4 linked regions of the Macaca fascicularis genome follow. The protein of the gene in region 4 interacts with the protein of the main gene of each other region in a biochemical or structural test. Links are inferred from orthologs where the notes say so. Each region holds a gene or a part of one and is shown on either strand. Other genes may lie near its edges.

Region 1 (4,015 bases), on a different chromosome or scaffold from region 4:
CACTCTAGAAACTGAGCACTTGGTGGAAGGAGGCAGGGGACCGCAACAACCTGAGGCTCAGCCTGCTAGAACTGGTGGATGAGCAATTGGGGCGCCAGTAGTTTCAGTATGCCATGCCCAAGGTACAATCCTGTTCCACAAGTAGGGACTAGGTGGAAGAAGGGAGCTCCAACTTTAGCCAAGCACGGTGGCTCACGCCTGTAATCCCAACACTTTGGGAGGCCGAGGCAGGCAGATCACCTGAGGTCAGGAGTTCAAGACCAGCCTGACCAACATGGAGAAACCCATCTCTACTAAAAACACAAAATCAGCCAGACGTGGTGGGGCAAGCCTACAATCCCAGCTACTCGGGAGGCTAAGGTGGGAGAATCGCTTGAACCTGGGAGGCGGAGGTTGCGGTGAGGCGAGATCGTACCATTGCGCTCCAGCCTGGGCAACAAGAGCAAAACTCCGTCTCAAAAGAAAAAAAAAAGGGAGCTCCAACTTTCAATTGCACTCACACAGGTTTTAACCTCAGCAACAAGTAGCTCTGGGTATGATAAGAAATGCTGATGTCCAGCTTTTCCTGGGAAGAAAGCATTTGATTTGGGAGCTGAGGGAGCGGTGCCCCGTGTTTCAGTTTGCAATAGTCTGGAGTAGAAGCTCTACCTCACTAAGCTAGGAGTGGGTAAGGAGGGAATGATCTTGGTTCAAATACCATATCCTCTCATCTTTCTTACCGAATTTGTAGATTTTCTTGAATAGGTGTTTCATTTGTTGTTTGCCCTCAGGACCATTGCCGGAGGGTTTAAATAGTTGATTTTAAAAAAAGAATTTTTGGGCCAGACATGGTGGCTCCGTCTGTAATCCCATCACTTTGGGAGTCCAAGGCCAGCGGATTGCTTTAGGTCAGGAGTTCAAGATCAGCCTAGGCAACATGGCAAAATCCTTGTCTCTACAAAAATTAGCTAGGTGAGGCTGGGCGCGGTGGCTCACACCTGTAATAGCACCACTTTCCCACCACTTTGGGAGGCCCAGGTGGGCTGGTCATGAGGTCAGGAGTTCGAGATCAGCCTGCCCAATATGTTGAAACCCTGTCTCTACTAAAAATAGAAAAATTAGCCAGACGTGATGGCACATGCCTGTAATCCCAGCTACCTGGAAGGCTGAAGCAAGAGAACTGCTTGAACCTGGGAGGTGGAGTTGGCAGTGAGCCGAGATCGCGCCATTGCACTCCAGCCCGGTGCACTCTGGGTGACAGAGCGAGACGTCTCAAAAAAAAAAAAAAATTAGCCAGGTGTGGTGCACACACCTGTGGTCCCAGTTACTCAGGAGGCCAAGGCAGGAGGACTGATTGAGCCACAGAGGTCGGTGGGGGTTGCAGTGAGCCATGATCACACTACTGCATGCCAGCCTGGGTGGCAGAGTGAGACTCTGTCTCAAAATGAAACAAAACAAAAAAGAATTTTCACCAGTTTTACAGAGGAATGGGTTCCTTAAGCTGTCAAGCTGGAAGCTGATCTTATCTAAGGCTGCTTTTGTGTTACAATGACAGAGCTGAAGAGCTGAATAGCTCCAACAGAGATTCTCTAGTCTACAAAGTTGAAAATATTTACTATGTGGTCCTGTACAGAAAAAGCTTGCCAACCCTTGGTTACTGCTGCCAATGCTGCTGGTCCACAAACCACACCTTTAGTAGCAAGAACTTAAATTACTTGAGAAGCAGTACTGTACTGGCTGTGAGCTTAGTTCAAAACCCCACCTTGCCATTTACTAGATAAATGGGTTTGTTCTGAGGATTAAATGTGCAAATGTCTGGCACTTTGAAAATACTGAACAATTGATAGCTGTTAATCATCATGTTGGAAACTATGTGGAAAGTAAGTATGAGATATTATATCGTTCTTCAAAGGGTTTTTTTCCAGAATATGTAGGCTTTAGAAAAGGAAAACAAGTATTGGCTTTCCAATAAACAAGACGCAACTTCTAATACCTGGGTACATAACAATATTACCTAATGAAAGAACTTTCAAGCGTTTAAGCGTAAGCCTAACTTAAGCCTGACACTGAAATCCGGAATTTTCTATCACAGGAGCATCCAGCTTCTTCCAATAACAATGAATGAAAATAACCTTCAGGAAATGCTAAAACCCAAAAGCCCTATGAAAAAAAGCAGCAATCATCTTTAACATGAGGTTTTGGGCCTAGTTGGCCCCTTCCGGTTCTGCCCGTCTCTAGCTACACCCATTAAGATGATATAAAGAGAACCTCTCGAGTTTCCACCTCGACTGTCACCGCAGCAGTCGGGGCTGCCGGCCGGTTACCTCGCAATTGAACTCCATCTCGGCGTCCATGGTGACGATCCGCACGGTGAACGTCTTGGGTTGCTTCCTCTTGAGAGAGCTGAAGCTCATGCGGGAAGCGATGGCCCCAGCCATGGCTCGGGGCTCAGGCCTGGGACCCTCGCGCCCCAAGGCCTGCACTCTGAGCCCTTTAGCCCCCCTGGAGTTGCTGCACAGGCCTCAGGGCCACCATGGTGGCCGGCTGGCCGGCCCGGGAACGGTCTGGGCTGCGCGGGTCCCCAGCGGCCAGCATGGGCCGCGAGGACCCTGCCCGGGCGGAAAGGGGAGTTGAGGGGCGGGCCCTGACGGCTCCTGGGAGGGCACGGGAGTCGGGACCGTCGGTGCAGGCGCGACCTGGCACTCCGGGATTCAGGCCGGAGATGCCGGGGACGCCTCGGGACGGGAACCCTAGACGGCAGCGGCCCAGATTCTGCGCGCCTCTCAGCTGCCGACTAGGGTCGCGGGGCCGCGCTGCAGTCGGGCGCGTATGCGCGCGCGTGGCTGTCACCGTCCTCACTCCGCGCGCCCGCGGGAAGCGTACCCTCCCCGCAGTCCGGGGCCTGCTCCCGGCCCCGCCCTCAGGTCTCCCAGACCACTACGCACAGCGCAACCGAACCGGAGGCTACCGCCTGGGTTCTGCGACCTGGATGCTGCGATTGGCTGGGAAGACCAAGGTAGGCAGGACTTTCCCCCTCCGTCCCGCCTCCTTCGGGGTGACTCCACCAATGGAAAGTTTCACTCTAACCGCAAAAAAAGCAGGCCTGGGCTCGGCGTTGAGTGGCTACAGTGGCAGTCACTCCGAACGCTTTTGTGCCACTCTAACAAGACTGGTTGAGGCGGCGGACCTCCGCTATCCTTTCCTAGGAAACCACGTAGAGGCTGGATGCCGGGCGCGGGAATTGGGTCCCTCGTTGGCCCAGGGAGGGACTCTTTGGGTTCAAGTAGGCTCCGAGTGTGGCGCCCCAGGGGATCGCGTTTCGGACACCCGGCGAATATTCTTGTTTGACAGTTAATCACATATAGCGACCCCTAAGCTTCTCAAACTTTCAAGACTCTTGTGGAGGCCTGTTAGATTTGCTGGCACTTTTCCGCCAGATCCCTCTGCTTCCCTTTAGAATCATTATGTTTTGGGGGGGAGTGGTGGGGGACGGAGTTTCGTTGTTGTTGCCCAGGCTGGAGTGCAATGGCGCGATCTCGGCTCACTGCAACCTCCGCCTCCCGGGTTTTCCTGCGCCAGCCTCCCGAGTAGCTGGGATAACAGGCATGCGCCACCACGCCCGGCTAATTTTGTATTTTTAGTAGAGACGGGGTTTCTCCATGTTCGTCAGGTTGGTCTCGAACTACCCACCTCAGGTGATCCGCCCGCCTCGGCCTCCCGAAGTGCTGGGATTACAGGCGTGAGCCACCACGCCCCGCCTAGAATTAATATTAATGGTTATACCTACCTCGTGAGGTTGTTGAATTTCAGCGCACTGAATACATACAAGGCTTTAGAATGGAGCCTGGCATCCTATGAAATTGCTGAATTTGGGTGGAAAATGAAAGCATTCTTCATTTTATACTCTACGATGCCCATTTTTGAACCATATTCGTGTATTATTTATTTAGTGTCATCAAGGGTTATAACGGGTGTAGGGGGATAATTATACCTTACTGTACCTAGATAAATTCTATTTTAAAATAGCTCTTAGTAG
Region 2 (4,050 bases), on a different chromosome or scaffold from region 4:
TGGCCCCACTGATCCTCGACAGGATGTCCTGGACCTGCAGCTCAGACGAGGAAAGGTGGGGTGTGGGTGGGGGGTTGGTTGACGCACACAGCAAGTAGCCTCAAGGAACTTGGGGATGGGGCAGGCTGCGCCCCAAGGCTTTGGTCCTATCCCCCGCCCTTGCGTTTTAACTTAACACCCGATCACTTCCGTTGTAAATAAAAAAGAAATAACAAACAGTTAAATTTAATTAGGGGTAAGTAATAAAGTGACCTGGTTCTCGCTAACTGCGCTCCTGAGCCCTTCGCTGCCGGCCCTGGACTCAGTGGACGAAGCGGGAGATTCCCGCCCAGGGGAAGAGGTTCCCACGGAGGGCATGCGGTCGCGGGTGCCTTTGGATCCGTGTGTGCGGGGAGGCGGGAGAATCTCCTCCTCGCGCCGGGGCCCCTGTTCCTCATTTCTAGCCTTTTAAAAAAGATCAAGAATACAGTGAATCCGGTTGGGGGCTGCCCGGCTGGGTGACGCGCCTCTGGCTAGACCGAATGGCACAGGTTGAGCCTGGGGGTGCGGACAGGTGGGCACCGGGCGCGGAGAAGGGTCTCTCAGCGCGGACTCGACTGCAGGACCCGCGGCGCCAGGGGCGGTGGTCGTGTGCAGCCCGTGAGCGGGCCGGAGGACTTGACAGATCGCAGCGAAAGAAAACACTAAACCAAAACAAAATCCACCGATTCCCCACGTCGTTTAGCAAAGACATCGTGGGTGGAGCCAGGAGGGAACGATTGAGTAGAATTCCGCGCGGCCGCCTCCACCCACCCACCCCGCGCCCCGGGTCCCCGGCCCCCTGCCCTGTCCGCCCGCCGGGCTGGGCCCGCAGCAGAGGTCAAGGCGCAGCGAGCGCCTCCTCCCACCCGGGCTTCCAGAGTACTCGGCTCTGCTCCTCCGTAGTAAACAAAGTGTCGCCGCCGCCTCCACGCTGCTTTGCTTCCTAGCAATCAAAACACTGAGAAGGCGAGAGAATCACAGAAACACTCGAGAATTACCAGAAAATAATAGAGATCCAAAAAAAAAAAAAAAAAAGGAGATGAGTGTGTGAAAGAGAAAAACACCCTACTACCCCCCACCAGCCCACCGCCGCCTCCCCGTGGAAAACCGGGCCCCGCCCAGCCCGGCGCCCACTGGCTGCCCAGGCGGCGGTGCCGCATGCCCATTGGCCGCGCGGGCTGTCGGTCAGGGGCGGGCCGGCGCGCGCGCCGGCGCGGGCGGGGAGCGGCGGCAGATCCCGTAAGTCGGGCGGCCTAGTAGTCGCAGCAGCCGCTGCTGCCGCCGCCACATTCAACAGGCAGCAGCGCAGCGGGCGCGCAGCCGGGGAGAGCGAGCGGCCCGCGGCATCCGTCTGTCCTTCCGTCCGCGGCCCTGTCAGCTGGAGCGCGGCGCAGGCTCTGCCCCGGCCCGGCGGCTCTGGCCAGCCGTCCAGTCCGTGCGGCGGACCCTGAGGAGCCTCGATGTGGATGGCCCGGCGAAGTTAAGTTCTGGGCTCGCGCTTGCACTCCGCCGCGCTTTCCTCCCAGTTTCCGTCCGCTCGCCGCACCGGCTTCGTTCCCCCAAATCTCGGACCGTCTCTTCGCGCCCCCTCCCCCTCCGGCCCCCGTGCTGCGTTCTCCCCTTCTTGGCTCTCCCGCGGCTGGGGGAGGGGCGGGGGTCACCATGGCCGAAGCGCCTCAGGTGGTGGAGATCGACCCGGACTTCGAGCCGCTGCCCCGGCCGCGCTCGTGCACCTGGCCGCTGCCCAGGCCGGAGTTTAGCCAGTCCAACTCGGCCACCTCCAGCCCGGCGCCGTCGGGCGGCGCGGCTGCCAACCCCGACGCCGCGGCGGGCCTGCCCTCGGCCTCGGCTGCCGCTGTCAGCGCCGACTTCATGAGCAACCTGAGCTTGCTGGAGGAGAGCGAGGACTTTCCGCAAGCACCCGGCTCCGTGGCGGCGGCGGTGGCGGCGGCGGCCGCCGCGGCCGCCACCGGGGGACTGTGCGGGGACTTCCAAGGCCCGGAGGCGGGCTGCCTGCACCCAGCGCCGCCGCAGCCCCCGCCGCCCGGGCCGCTGTCGCAGCACCCGCCAGTGCCCCCCGCTGGCGCTGGGCCTCTCGCGGGGCAGCCGCGCAAGAGCAGCTCGTCCCGCCGCAACGCGTGGGGCAACCTGTCCTACGCTGACCTCATCACCAAGGCCATCGAGAGCTCGGCGGAGAAGCGGCTGACGCTGTCGCAGATCTACGAGTGGATGGTCAAGAGCGTGCCCTACTTCAAGGATAAGGGTGACAGCAACAGCTCGGCGGGCTGGAAGGTGAGCGGTCTCGGCGCGCGGCCGGACCTTGGGGGCGCGGTGGGTCAGGCGAGGGCGCAGCTGTGCAGGTTTGCTCGGCCTGAAGGTGCGGGCCAGGAGGGCAGCGCGTTCCCAGGAGGGCGGGCGAGAAGCGGTGGTCGCGGTGACCTCGCCCAGGTCCGGTCGGGGACGGCAGTAGGTGTGCGCGCGCGCCAGTCAAGAGTTCGCGTGGGACGCGAAAAGGGGCTCGTCGAGGAACTAAGTAAAGAAAGTGCGCCAAGAAGTGGATATCAGCGGCCGAAAAGTTTGCCAGTGAAAGGAGAAACGGGTTCGCTGGGAGGGGCACTCCCCCGGCCCGCGCTGACTGCTTCGACTGCCCCTTCCCTCCCGGACCTCCGCGGGGGGAGGGCAGGTCCTCTCCGGCCGCGCTGCGGAGCTGTTTCCGCCGGGCGCGGCGGGGGAGGGCGCGGCGAGGGGCCCCGGACTCTCCCTGTCCCGGGACCGGGCTGCAGGTGGAGGGGACAGGCAGGGCGCGACCGGCCGTGGACGGTGCAGGGCCAGCCGGGCAGTTTCTGGAGGCGGTGCGCATTTTGCTTTGTTTTGGTTTTCTCTGGAGTGGCCTCGAGTGCCGGGGGCCGGGCGTCCCGAGCCCGAGGTGGTGCCTCCGACACGTGCGAAGGGGCGGCCACCGCCTGCGGAGCGCCGGCGCCTGGCTGCGCTGGGCGAGCTAAAGTTCAAGTGTGACCCTCGGCGGGGGCGGGCGCGGGCGGTGGCGATGGCGTGGGAGGGGCCCCGGGCGCAGGAAGCCCGCGCCTTTAAAGGGCCAGCGCGTCCGGGCCGGGAGCCGTGGGGCCAGCGTTTCTCCACGAGGGGAAGCGCCCGAACTTGGTCTTGCCCCTGGTAGGAGGCTTTTATTGAGAAACACAGAGGCTGCCCTGGGGGGCCGGGGGCTGGGAAGTGTGCGTCTTTTCCTGCCTTGCCACCCTGTTCTTGAGAATGGAGGTCCAGATGAGGGACCAGGCGGGGGGCTTTGCGACCAATTTTTTGAGGGAGTCGGAGTGGCGATGGGCGTCGAGGGAGCGATGCCTCAAAGGAGGATTTTTGCCATTTTTGCCTTATAGAGAGTGGCCAGTAGAGACTTAGCGTGGGGGCAGGTATTTCCCGACTCCGAGGAGAAGGCCCGGGGCGGGGGGGTGGCCTCGGCCCCGGGGAGGCTTCCCGGGGGCGGGGTCCAGTCGCCGCGCGGCCTCCCCAAGCTGACAGTTTCTCACTGTCACCGGTGGCGGAATTGCTGTAAAGGCTGTCTAGTTGAGCTAAACACCTTTTTTTTTTTTTTTTTTCATCCCCGCTCTGAGACGGAGTCTCGTTCTGTCGCCAGGCTGGAGTACCGTGGCGCGATCTCGGTTCATTGCAACTTCCGACTCTCTGGTTGAAGCGATTCTCCTGCCTCAGCCTCCCGACTAGCTGGGATTACAGGCAAGAGCCACCACGCCCAGCTAATTTTGGTGTTTTTAGTAGAGACGGAGTTTCACCGTGTTGGCCAGGATGTTCTGGATCTCCTGACCTCGTGATCCGCCCGCCTCGGCCTCCCAAAGTGCTGGGATTACAGGCGTGAGCCCCTGCGCCCGGCCGAGCTAAACATCTTTTTAAACAAACCTTTCCTTGCCTCTCATATTGACTCCACAGCATAATAAAAGATTGGTCTTAGCTGCGCAGTTGTTAACACCAAGGTTATTTTACATACAGTGTCATCCCTGT
Region 3 (4,161 bases), on a different chromosome or scaffold from region 4:
TTTCCCAAAAGCCCATAACTCTTACATGTTGGAGGGCAGGGTGGTAGGGGTGACTGCTAATTGCTCCCCAAACCACCTAATCTAAACTTTCTTGTTCTAAGTGAGTGCCGCCCCCTGGTGGGGTGGGAGTAACCTTGGCATATCATCAGGGAGGCCAGTTCAGGCATGAGACTTCCCTCAGAGGGGGGCGGGGGCCGGGGGCGGGGGCCGGGGGCGGGGGTGGGCCTTGAAGTCCCAGGCTCAGCCTGATTTGATTTTGCCATCATTCCAATTAGAGCAAGCCAGGCTCTTCTTAGAGAGTATGATTTATAGTTAGACCTGAGTTCAAGTCCTCACCCTGCTGTTATTAGGTGAGTTTCCTAACCTTTCGGTACGTAGTTTCCTAATGCGTAAAATGTGGAATCTCAGAATTGCTGTAAAGATTAATAAAATAAAAAATTTAAAAACTACTTTGTAAACTCTAAAGCCCCACATAAGTGTAGATTATAAGGACGGACGATACTCCCACAATATAACTAACAACTTGTTATTTCCTCTACACTGGAAAATGAACCTAAGGGAAAAGAAAAACAGCTGTGTAGGCTGGGTCCAAGGAGTTGAGCTTTTTATGAGCTGAGACTGTGGCGTGGCAGTCTACCCAGAAATAGTGCCAAGGGTCTCAGTCAGCTGTCCTGTCTTCTGTTCTGCCCAGCCCCTAGGGACGGCACAGATCTGATCCCTCAGTCTCCTATACCTAGGGGAAGTTCCTCTGCTCATCCAACCCTCTGTACTTGGTTATATGCTGACCTCACCACCTACAGAGGTACAAGCCAGCAATAGGGCTTGAAGCTCCCCAATTTTGTGATTAGAGCCCCATATTTCTCAGGACAAGTTTTTCAGAGTATCTTTTGAGATCTTCCCTCACAGTTTCTTCACGGAAGGCCAAGGGAACTCCCAACTTCATGCTCTAAAGTCAGAGCCCTACCTCCTCTTTATGACTAATATTCCTTAACAGTAAAGGATGACTTCCCCCCAAAACTTGGATAGCCCCTTACAAGGGAGAGTTTCTTGGCAGCACAGGGTAAACTGAGACAGGTGGCAGCTCACAGCCCTTTCTCTTCTTAGTGCATAAGATCAGCTACCTTTCCCCATGAATATTATTGTTTTCACCCTTTGCCACTGCACTCCCTCCTCCCAGGTAGAGCAGTGCTAGAACAGTACCACTACACTGAGGTATTGGGAGGCAAGCAGGGAATCCAAGTAATCCCACAGGAATGGGAGAAAAGGTGTTGGGGTGGGAGGTGGGGGAGGAGGGAAGGGTAGGTTCATGTGGAGAATCCACACAGTTCCTGCTGTACATAGGATAAAGACTTCTCTGTGGGAATAAGTGTTTGGGGCAGCCCAAGCCAAAGTGCTGCGAGTGTTGAGCAGTGAGCAGAGAATTCGATTTTCTCCAGGGCAGGGACAGTGTCTTATTCATCTGTGATCCTTCAGCATCAAGCACCGAGTGTGGCATATACTATGTACTAAGTAAATGTTTGTCTAACTGGAGATTGAAGGTGGATCTCTGGGCTTCCCAAAGGGGGTGGGGGTGGGAGGTAGTAAAAGGGGCCCCAGAGTAGAAGTAAGGGAGGCTAGGGAATCCAGGGGCTAGATGGTGTTGGGAAGAAGGTAAGAGGGTCATAATTACCTTCCATCCTGCTGAGCTGTTGCTGTCACCCTTGTCCTTGAAGTAGGGTACAGTACGGACCATCCACTCGTAGATCTGGGCAAGTGTCAGTCGCTTCTCCGGGGCGCTTTCAATGGCCTGGCTGATGAGTTCTGCATATGACTGATTTCCCCAGGCATTCCGGCGGGAGCCTCCCTTCCGAGGACCTGTTACAGCCCCCAGGATTCCGGGCTGGGGGCCCCCGGCCGGCTCTGGGAGCCGGGAGGGCAACAGGATCGGCTCTGAGCGCCCCTCCGTGTGTACCTTTTCCCCCAGACCTGGCTCCACCTCGGGCGTCTCGGACGGCTGGTTAGCGATCTCAGGTCGGGGAAGGGGCCAGGTGCAGGAGCGGGGACGGCTCTGGGGTTCGAAGTCGGGATCGAGGTCTATGACCGCGGCAGCCTCTGTGGCTGAATTCTCATTCCCCGGATCCATACGTGGAGTTGGACCTCCCCGGCTCAGCGTTCAGTGAAGCCTGCCACAGTCCCTCACGATGCCTCCCCTCAGGGGGGAAGCATCGAGGGCCAGGAGGCACATTCCTGCCAGTCCTCAGAAAGTCGCGAACTTCCCCCTAGTCCCAGGACGCTAGTCCCTAAGCTGTCCCTTCACACAGTTCTCCGATCCCCTTCGCGACTACAGCCTGCAGCCTCAGAGCTCTTTCCGAGATGCCACCTGTAACCTCTGCCGAGCGAAAACACTTTTTCTGCAACCTCTCACTTAGCTTCCTGCTCTTTTAAACCTGAGGCACGGTATCCCCTCATACATTGCGCTCCCATCACCGAACGTCTCCTTAGCCGCAGTTCCCTCCCCCTTTTAAGTTGCTGCCCCCCGGACACTCCTCCCAAATTTCCTCCACCCGGATTGCTGCCCTCCCCCACGCCCCGCTCCCCCGCGTCACTTGCCCCTCCCCTGACTCCCCCTTCCCCCGCCTCTTCCCTTCTCGCCACTCTTAATCGGGTCCGGGTCCCCGCGGCTGCGGCCTCCCTAATTCCCGCACCGATTCCCCTATCAACCCCCCCCACCCCCCGCCCCCCGGGTTTCCCTTTTGTTTTGCTCCAAGCAGCAGCCCCCTCCTGACGTCTCTGTTTACCACTCGCCGGGGCAGCCATCTGCGCACGCGCCTCGAAAGCCAGTCGGGAAACCGAGTTCTTCAGTCGTGCCACCCTGGTCACTCTTGAGGACTACATCTCCCGTCCTGCTTCGCGGCCAGGAGCCCGATACGGCGGCAGGAGAGCGGCGTGGCAGGATATAACGAGGTGGAACTTTAATTATTAGAAGTCGTCGTGGACTCTTTCTTTTCTTAAGAATCGTTTTTCGCCCTTTCCCCCTTTCCATCGTCTCCCTTGTGATTCGGAGTCGCCTAGGTGACCAGATTGAGAGGTGCTAGCCCTTTCCCTCCTTCATTTAGGAGAAGGCAAAAGGGAAAAAAATCTTCTCTTCAAGAAGCAGGAGGCCAAGAAGCAAGAAGCAAGGAACTGACTAGAACATAGGATGTATGCACGTTGGAGAGTTGGGTGGAGGGGCTTGTGTAACATAAACAAATGGTTAGCCCACGGTGGTGTTCCCCCTCACCCCCTTCCTCCTCCCTCCACCCGCCTTCATCCCCCCATATGCAGTTCCCACCTACAGTGAGGTCTTACTTACCAATCAGTTTCCTCCACTGGCTCTTCTGGCCTTCCCTTCAACACTGATATTCTCCAGGTTCACATCTCCAACGGCTTCACTTTCATTCAACAGGTCCCAAACTCATTATCTATTCCTGCACCCATACCCCTATCCTCTGGCTACCCTTATCTCTGAATTTGGCTTATGGTAGTCCTGATCTACCCAGTCTCCCAAGCTAGACTTACCCGTTACCTCTTCATCTCCGTAACTTTCTACATCCAAATCCCAGTTCAAGACCTATTTATAACTGCATTTAAATTGTAGGATCAGCTGGGTGCAGTGGCTTACGCCTGTAATACCAGCACTTTGGGAGGTCGAGGCAGGCGGATCACTTGAGGTCTGGAGTTCAAGACCAGCCTGGCCAACGTGGTGAAACCGATCTCTGCTAAAAATAGAAAAATTAGCCTGGTGTGGGGCATGCGCCTGTAGTCCCAGCTACTTAGGAGGCTGAGGTGGGAGAGTCGCCCAAGAGGTGGAGGTTACAGTGAGCCAAGATCATGCCACTGTGCTCCAGCCTGGGTGACAGAATAACACCCTGTCAAAAAAAAAAAAAAAAAAAAAAAAAGGTGCAGTATTGGATCTCCTTCCATCAGTCTTTTCCTCACTACAGTTTATATTCAGAGCTGCCAACAAGGTTACCGTTCTAAGAAACATGTCTGGTAATTATGGATAAAATTTATGGAGCCCTTATTATGTGCCAGTCTTTGTGCAAATTGCTTTACGAACATTAGTTCATTTACTCCTCATTTACTCCTCAATTCAACCCCATGAAGTAGGTACAACTATTATCCCCATTTTATAGATGCAGA
Region 4 (3,500 bases):
ACTAACCACGTGGCTGGAGTCTGGCCCCCTTCACAGTAAATACCTCCTGGGTCGAGTCCCCACAACGGGCTCCCCAGGACAGAGCCCGGGCCTCAACAGAAGCCTGGCAGGCAGGGCTGCAGGGCATGGGGAGCTGGGGCCTCCCGGAGCCTCGGCAGAGTGCAAAGACGACCAGGGCCACCTGCCCCACCTGCCTGCACACAGGAGCGGCGAGCACAGCCCCCAGCCCACATCGGGCACCTCCACAGCCTGACCCTCCGGGGCAGGCCTGTCACCAGCGGCAGAATCCGCAGTGCGTAAAGTCCTCACGTGCCCAAGAAGACAGGACATCGTTCCCTAGAGACAGCCCCAGGAGTCGCCACCTGACCCCAGCCCTTCAGCCCCATCTGGGCTCCCACTCACCGTGAGGAAGGGGTGCCTGGAGTTCTGCAGAACACGGTTCTCGGTGAGTGTGTGGGCCACCTCGTCCTGTAAGGCAGGGCTGGGTGAGCTGCCGCCCAGCATCCTCGTCTCCACCCTGCCCCACCACCCCGGCCCCACCTTGGCCACGATGACCTCCTTCTTGAGGATCTTCATGGCATAGTAGCGGCCCGTTGCCTTCTCCTTCACCAGGATCACCTTCCCGAAAGTGCCCTTGCCCAGCAGCTTCAGGTACTCAAACTCGTTCATGGTCTGTGGGCAGGCACCAGGGTCAGCGGGGGGCGCTGCCCACAGTGCCCAGCTGGTCGGCATGTGTCAGGTGGCATGGGGGCCCCAGAGTCACCCTTGGCAGACTTGGAGGCGGAGCCAGGAGAGGCGACCGCTTCACACCTGGTGGCCTGCGGGGCTCAGCGGGGAGTCCGGACTTACAGGGAACACACGGTGCAGCCCTAGCTCAGAGCGTGGGGTTCGGGGAAGGGTGGGGTAACACTGCCCAAGCCTGGCAGGGCTCAGCAGCCCCACTATTTCTCTGACATAGGGAAGAGGACCCACCTGGGAAGCAGCTGCGCCCCACATGGAAAACCGGCCTAGATGGGGATGCTGTGGAGTGCTGAGTGTCTCCTGGGCCAAGCTGGGACCCCATGACCCACCCAGCTCTCCACAGCCCAAGGTAGCCCCAGGCATAGGCAGAAAGGGGGACAGGCCTTACCACACGGTGCTTGGGTTTGGCCAGGGACACCTCCATCTCTTCAGCCCCTGAGTTGTCGCTGGGTGAGCCCGACCGGAAGTCCATCATCTCCTCCTCGTGCTTCTTGAGGCCATCGGCCACTGTCTGGATGGCGGTTGTCCACTCCTCCCTGCAGGAGGTCAGGTGAGGCTGTAGCCCTGCACCTCACCCCATGAGGTCAGGAGCTCCACCCCACAGCTTACACCCACCCTCCAGCCTCACAAGCGGGGTCCCCAGAGACAGCCCTGAGGAGGCCACCCCTTGACCTGGGCTGGCCACACACACTCAGGGTCAGAAAGCCCTTCTGGACCTGAGGGACACGCAGGCTTAGCCCCCAAGTAGGGTTCAAGCCCCCAGCAGGGCTCTGTCCCCACAGGCAAACTCCAACCCCCAGCAGGACCCAGGCCCACAGCAGGACTCCGCCCCCCAGGCTTGCTCTATCACCCAGGCTGGAGTGCACTGGTACAATCTCGGCTCACTGCGGCCTCCGCCTCTTGGGTTCAAGCAATTCTTGTGCCTCAGCCTCCCAAGTAGCTGGGATCACAGGTGTGCACCACCACACCCAGCTAAGTTTTATATTTTTAGTAGAGGCGGGGGTTTCACCATGTTGGCCAGGCCGGTCTTGAACTCCTGGTCTCAAGTGATCTGCCCATCTCAGCCTCCCAAAATGCCAAGATTATAGATGTCAGCCACTGTGCCCGGTCCCTAGACAGTTTTTATCTCCAGCCTCAGTTTCCCCACCCAACCCCACAGGACTGGGCCAGTTTCCAAACCGGGCTCTGGGGAGGGCCTGGGATCACTGGGGAGTAAGGATGGCTATAGGCAGAGGCGCCCAGCACCCGCCATCCCCATGTCCCTCCTAAGCGCTAGGGCTGCCCAAGTGCCCGGCCTGGCCGCCGCAGCCCACGTACCGCTCCTCGGGAGTCTCCACGTGGAAGGTGCGTTCGATGACAGTGGTCCACTGCAGGCAGCGGATGATGAAGGTGTTGGGCCGGGGCCGCTCCGTCTTCATCAGCTGGCACTCTGTGGGCAAGCAGAGCCTCTGTCTGCATGCATCCCCCTGCCCCTCCCAGGGCCCTCACCACAGTCCCCACCGCACCAGCCAGCTCCCCTTGCATACCACCCACAAGTCCTAGGAAGCCCCACCTCCTCCTCTCTCCAAGCCTCAGTTTCTCGCCTCATAGAGTGGGGCTAGGACCCCCATTCCAGCTCAGACACTCTATTCCAGGTTGAGGCAGCCCCAAAGGGCATCTGGCCCAAGGTCAGGTCAACCCCCCCGCATCGTCCCCTCCTACAGTCCCCTTCCTTCAGTCACTGAGCCCCACCGTGCACCAGGTCTCAGAGGATGAGGGATATGGAGATCCCACAGAGGGGCTGGCATGAGGGGGCCACCCCAGAAAGCAGCTTGTCCCACCTAGTGTAGAAATGTCCTGCTATTTTCCCAATCTCACCCTGAGTACCTGGGAAATACACCTGGGGGCACACGCACACCTGGGGGCACAGCCACACCTGGTGCACAGCCACACCTGGGGCACACCACACCCGGGGCACACCACACCTGGTGCACAGTCACACCCGGGGCACAGCCACACCTGGGGCACAGCCACACCTGGGGCACACCATACCTGGTGCACACCCACACCTGGTGCACACCCAAACCTGGTGCACACCCACACCCAGGGCACACCCACATCTGGGGCACACCCACACCTGGAGCACACCCACACCCGGGGCACACACATATGTGGGGCACAGCCACACCCAGAACAGTCACACCCAGGGCACACCCACATCTGGGGCACAGTCACACCCGGGGCACACCCACATGTGGGGCACAGCCACACTCGGAACACAGCCACACCTGGGGCACACAGTCACACCAGGGGTACACCCACACCTGGAACACACCCACACCCGGGGCACACCCACACTCGGGGCACAGCCACATCTGGGGCACACACACACCTGGGGCACAGCCACATCTGGTGCACAGCCACACCTGGGGCACACACACACCTGGAGCGCACACACACCTGGGGAACACATACGTGGGGCACAGCCATTCCTACTGCACATACACCCTGAGGGCTGTGGGAACGTGCGGGGCCCTGAGAGGTGTGAGTGAGTGCAGTGTGTAGCCGCTGGGGCTCCTTGGCAGGCTCTGGCCCAGCCTGTGCAAAGCAGGAGGGGGCTGAGGGGCCAGTAGGGGGCCTCTGACATTCCAGCATCGAGGCCCTGGCAACCACAAGGGGGCCTGGCCAGGCAGCGAGGGAGCTGTCTTCCAGGCCTGGGGGCCAGGAGGGGGCTCGGGACCAGCCTGGTGGGGAGGGTGGCCTGTGTCAACACAGGCCAG

What was found.
Region 1: the proteins of AKT1 (region 4) and NF2 form a complex in vitro, tested with the Homo sapiens proteins (2 studies listed by BioGRID, with this or other methods). The link is inferred for Macaca fascicularis from reciprocal best matches to the Homo sapiens genes AKT1 and NF2.
Region 2: of the proteins of AKT1 (region 4) and FOXO1, one has a biochemical effect on the other in vitro, tested with the Homo sapiens proteins (4 studies listed by BioGRID). The link is inferred for Macaca fascicularis from reciprocal best matches to the Homo sapiens genes AKT1 and FOXO1.
Region 3: the proteins of AKT1 (region 4) and FOXO4 form a complex in vitro, tested with the Homo sapiens proteins (2 studies listed by BioGRID, with this or other methods). The link is inferred for Macaca fascicularis from reciprocal best matches to the Homo sapiens genes AKT1 and FOXO4.

Annotation. Positions count from the first base shown.
Region 1 is NC_088384.1:22,072,995-22,077,009, forward strand, and holds the start of NF2 (merlin), read right to left. Parts: upstream 2,801-4,015; 5' UTR 2,418-2,800; coding exon 2,304-2,417; intron 1-2,303. UniProt on the Homo sapiens protein: Probable regulator of the Hippo/SWH (Sav/Wts/Hpo) signaling pathway, a signaling pathway that plays a pivotal role in tumor suppression by restricting proliferation and promoting apoptosis.
Region 2 is NC_088391.1:20,066,354-20,070,403, reverse strand, and holds the start of FOXO1 (forkhead box protein O1), read left to right. Parts: upstream 1-1,250; 5' UTR 1,251-1,683; coding exon 1,684-2,313; intron 2,314-2,550; exon of another isoform or gene 2,551-4,050. UniProt on the Homo sapiens protein: Transcription factor that is the main target of insulin signaling and regulates metabolic homeostasis in response to oxidative stress.
Region 3 is NC_088395.1:77,796,391-77,800,551, reverse strand, and holds the start of FOXO4 (forkhead box protein O4), read right to left. Parts: upstream 2,801-4,161; 5' UTR 2,123-2,800; coding exon 1,670-2,122; intron 1-1,669. UniProt on the Homo sapiens protein: Transcription factor involved in the regulation of the insulin signaling pathway. Binds to insulin-response elements (IREs) and can activate transcription of IGFBP1.
Region 4 is NC_088381.1:172,969,169-172,972,668, forward strand, and holds part of AKT1 (RAC-alpha serine/threonine-protein kinase), read right to left. Parts: intron 2,171-3,500; coding exon 2,059-2,170; intron 1,278-2,058; coding exon 1,130-1,277; intron 673-1,129; coding exon 541-672; intron 469-540; coding exon 403-468; intron 1-402. UniProt on the Homo sapiens protein: AKT1 is one of 3 closely related serine/threonine-protein kinases (AKT1, AKT2 and AKT3) called the AKT kinase, and which regulate many processes including metabolism, proliferation, cell survival, growth and angiogenesis.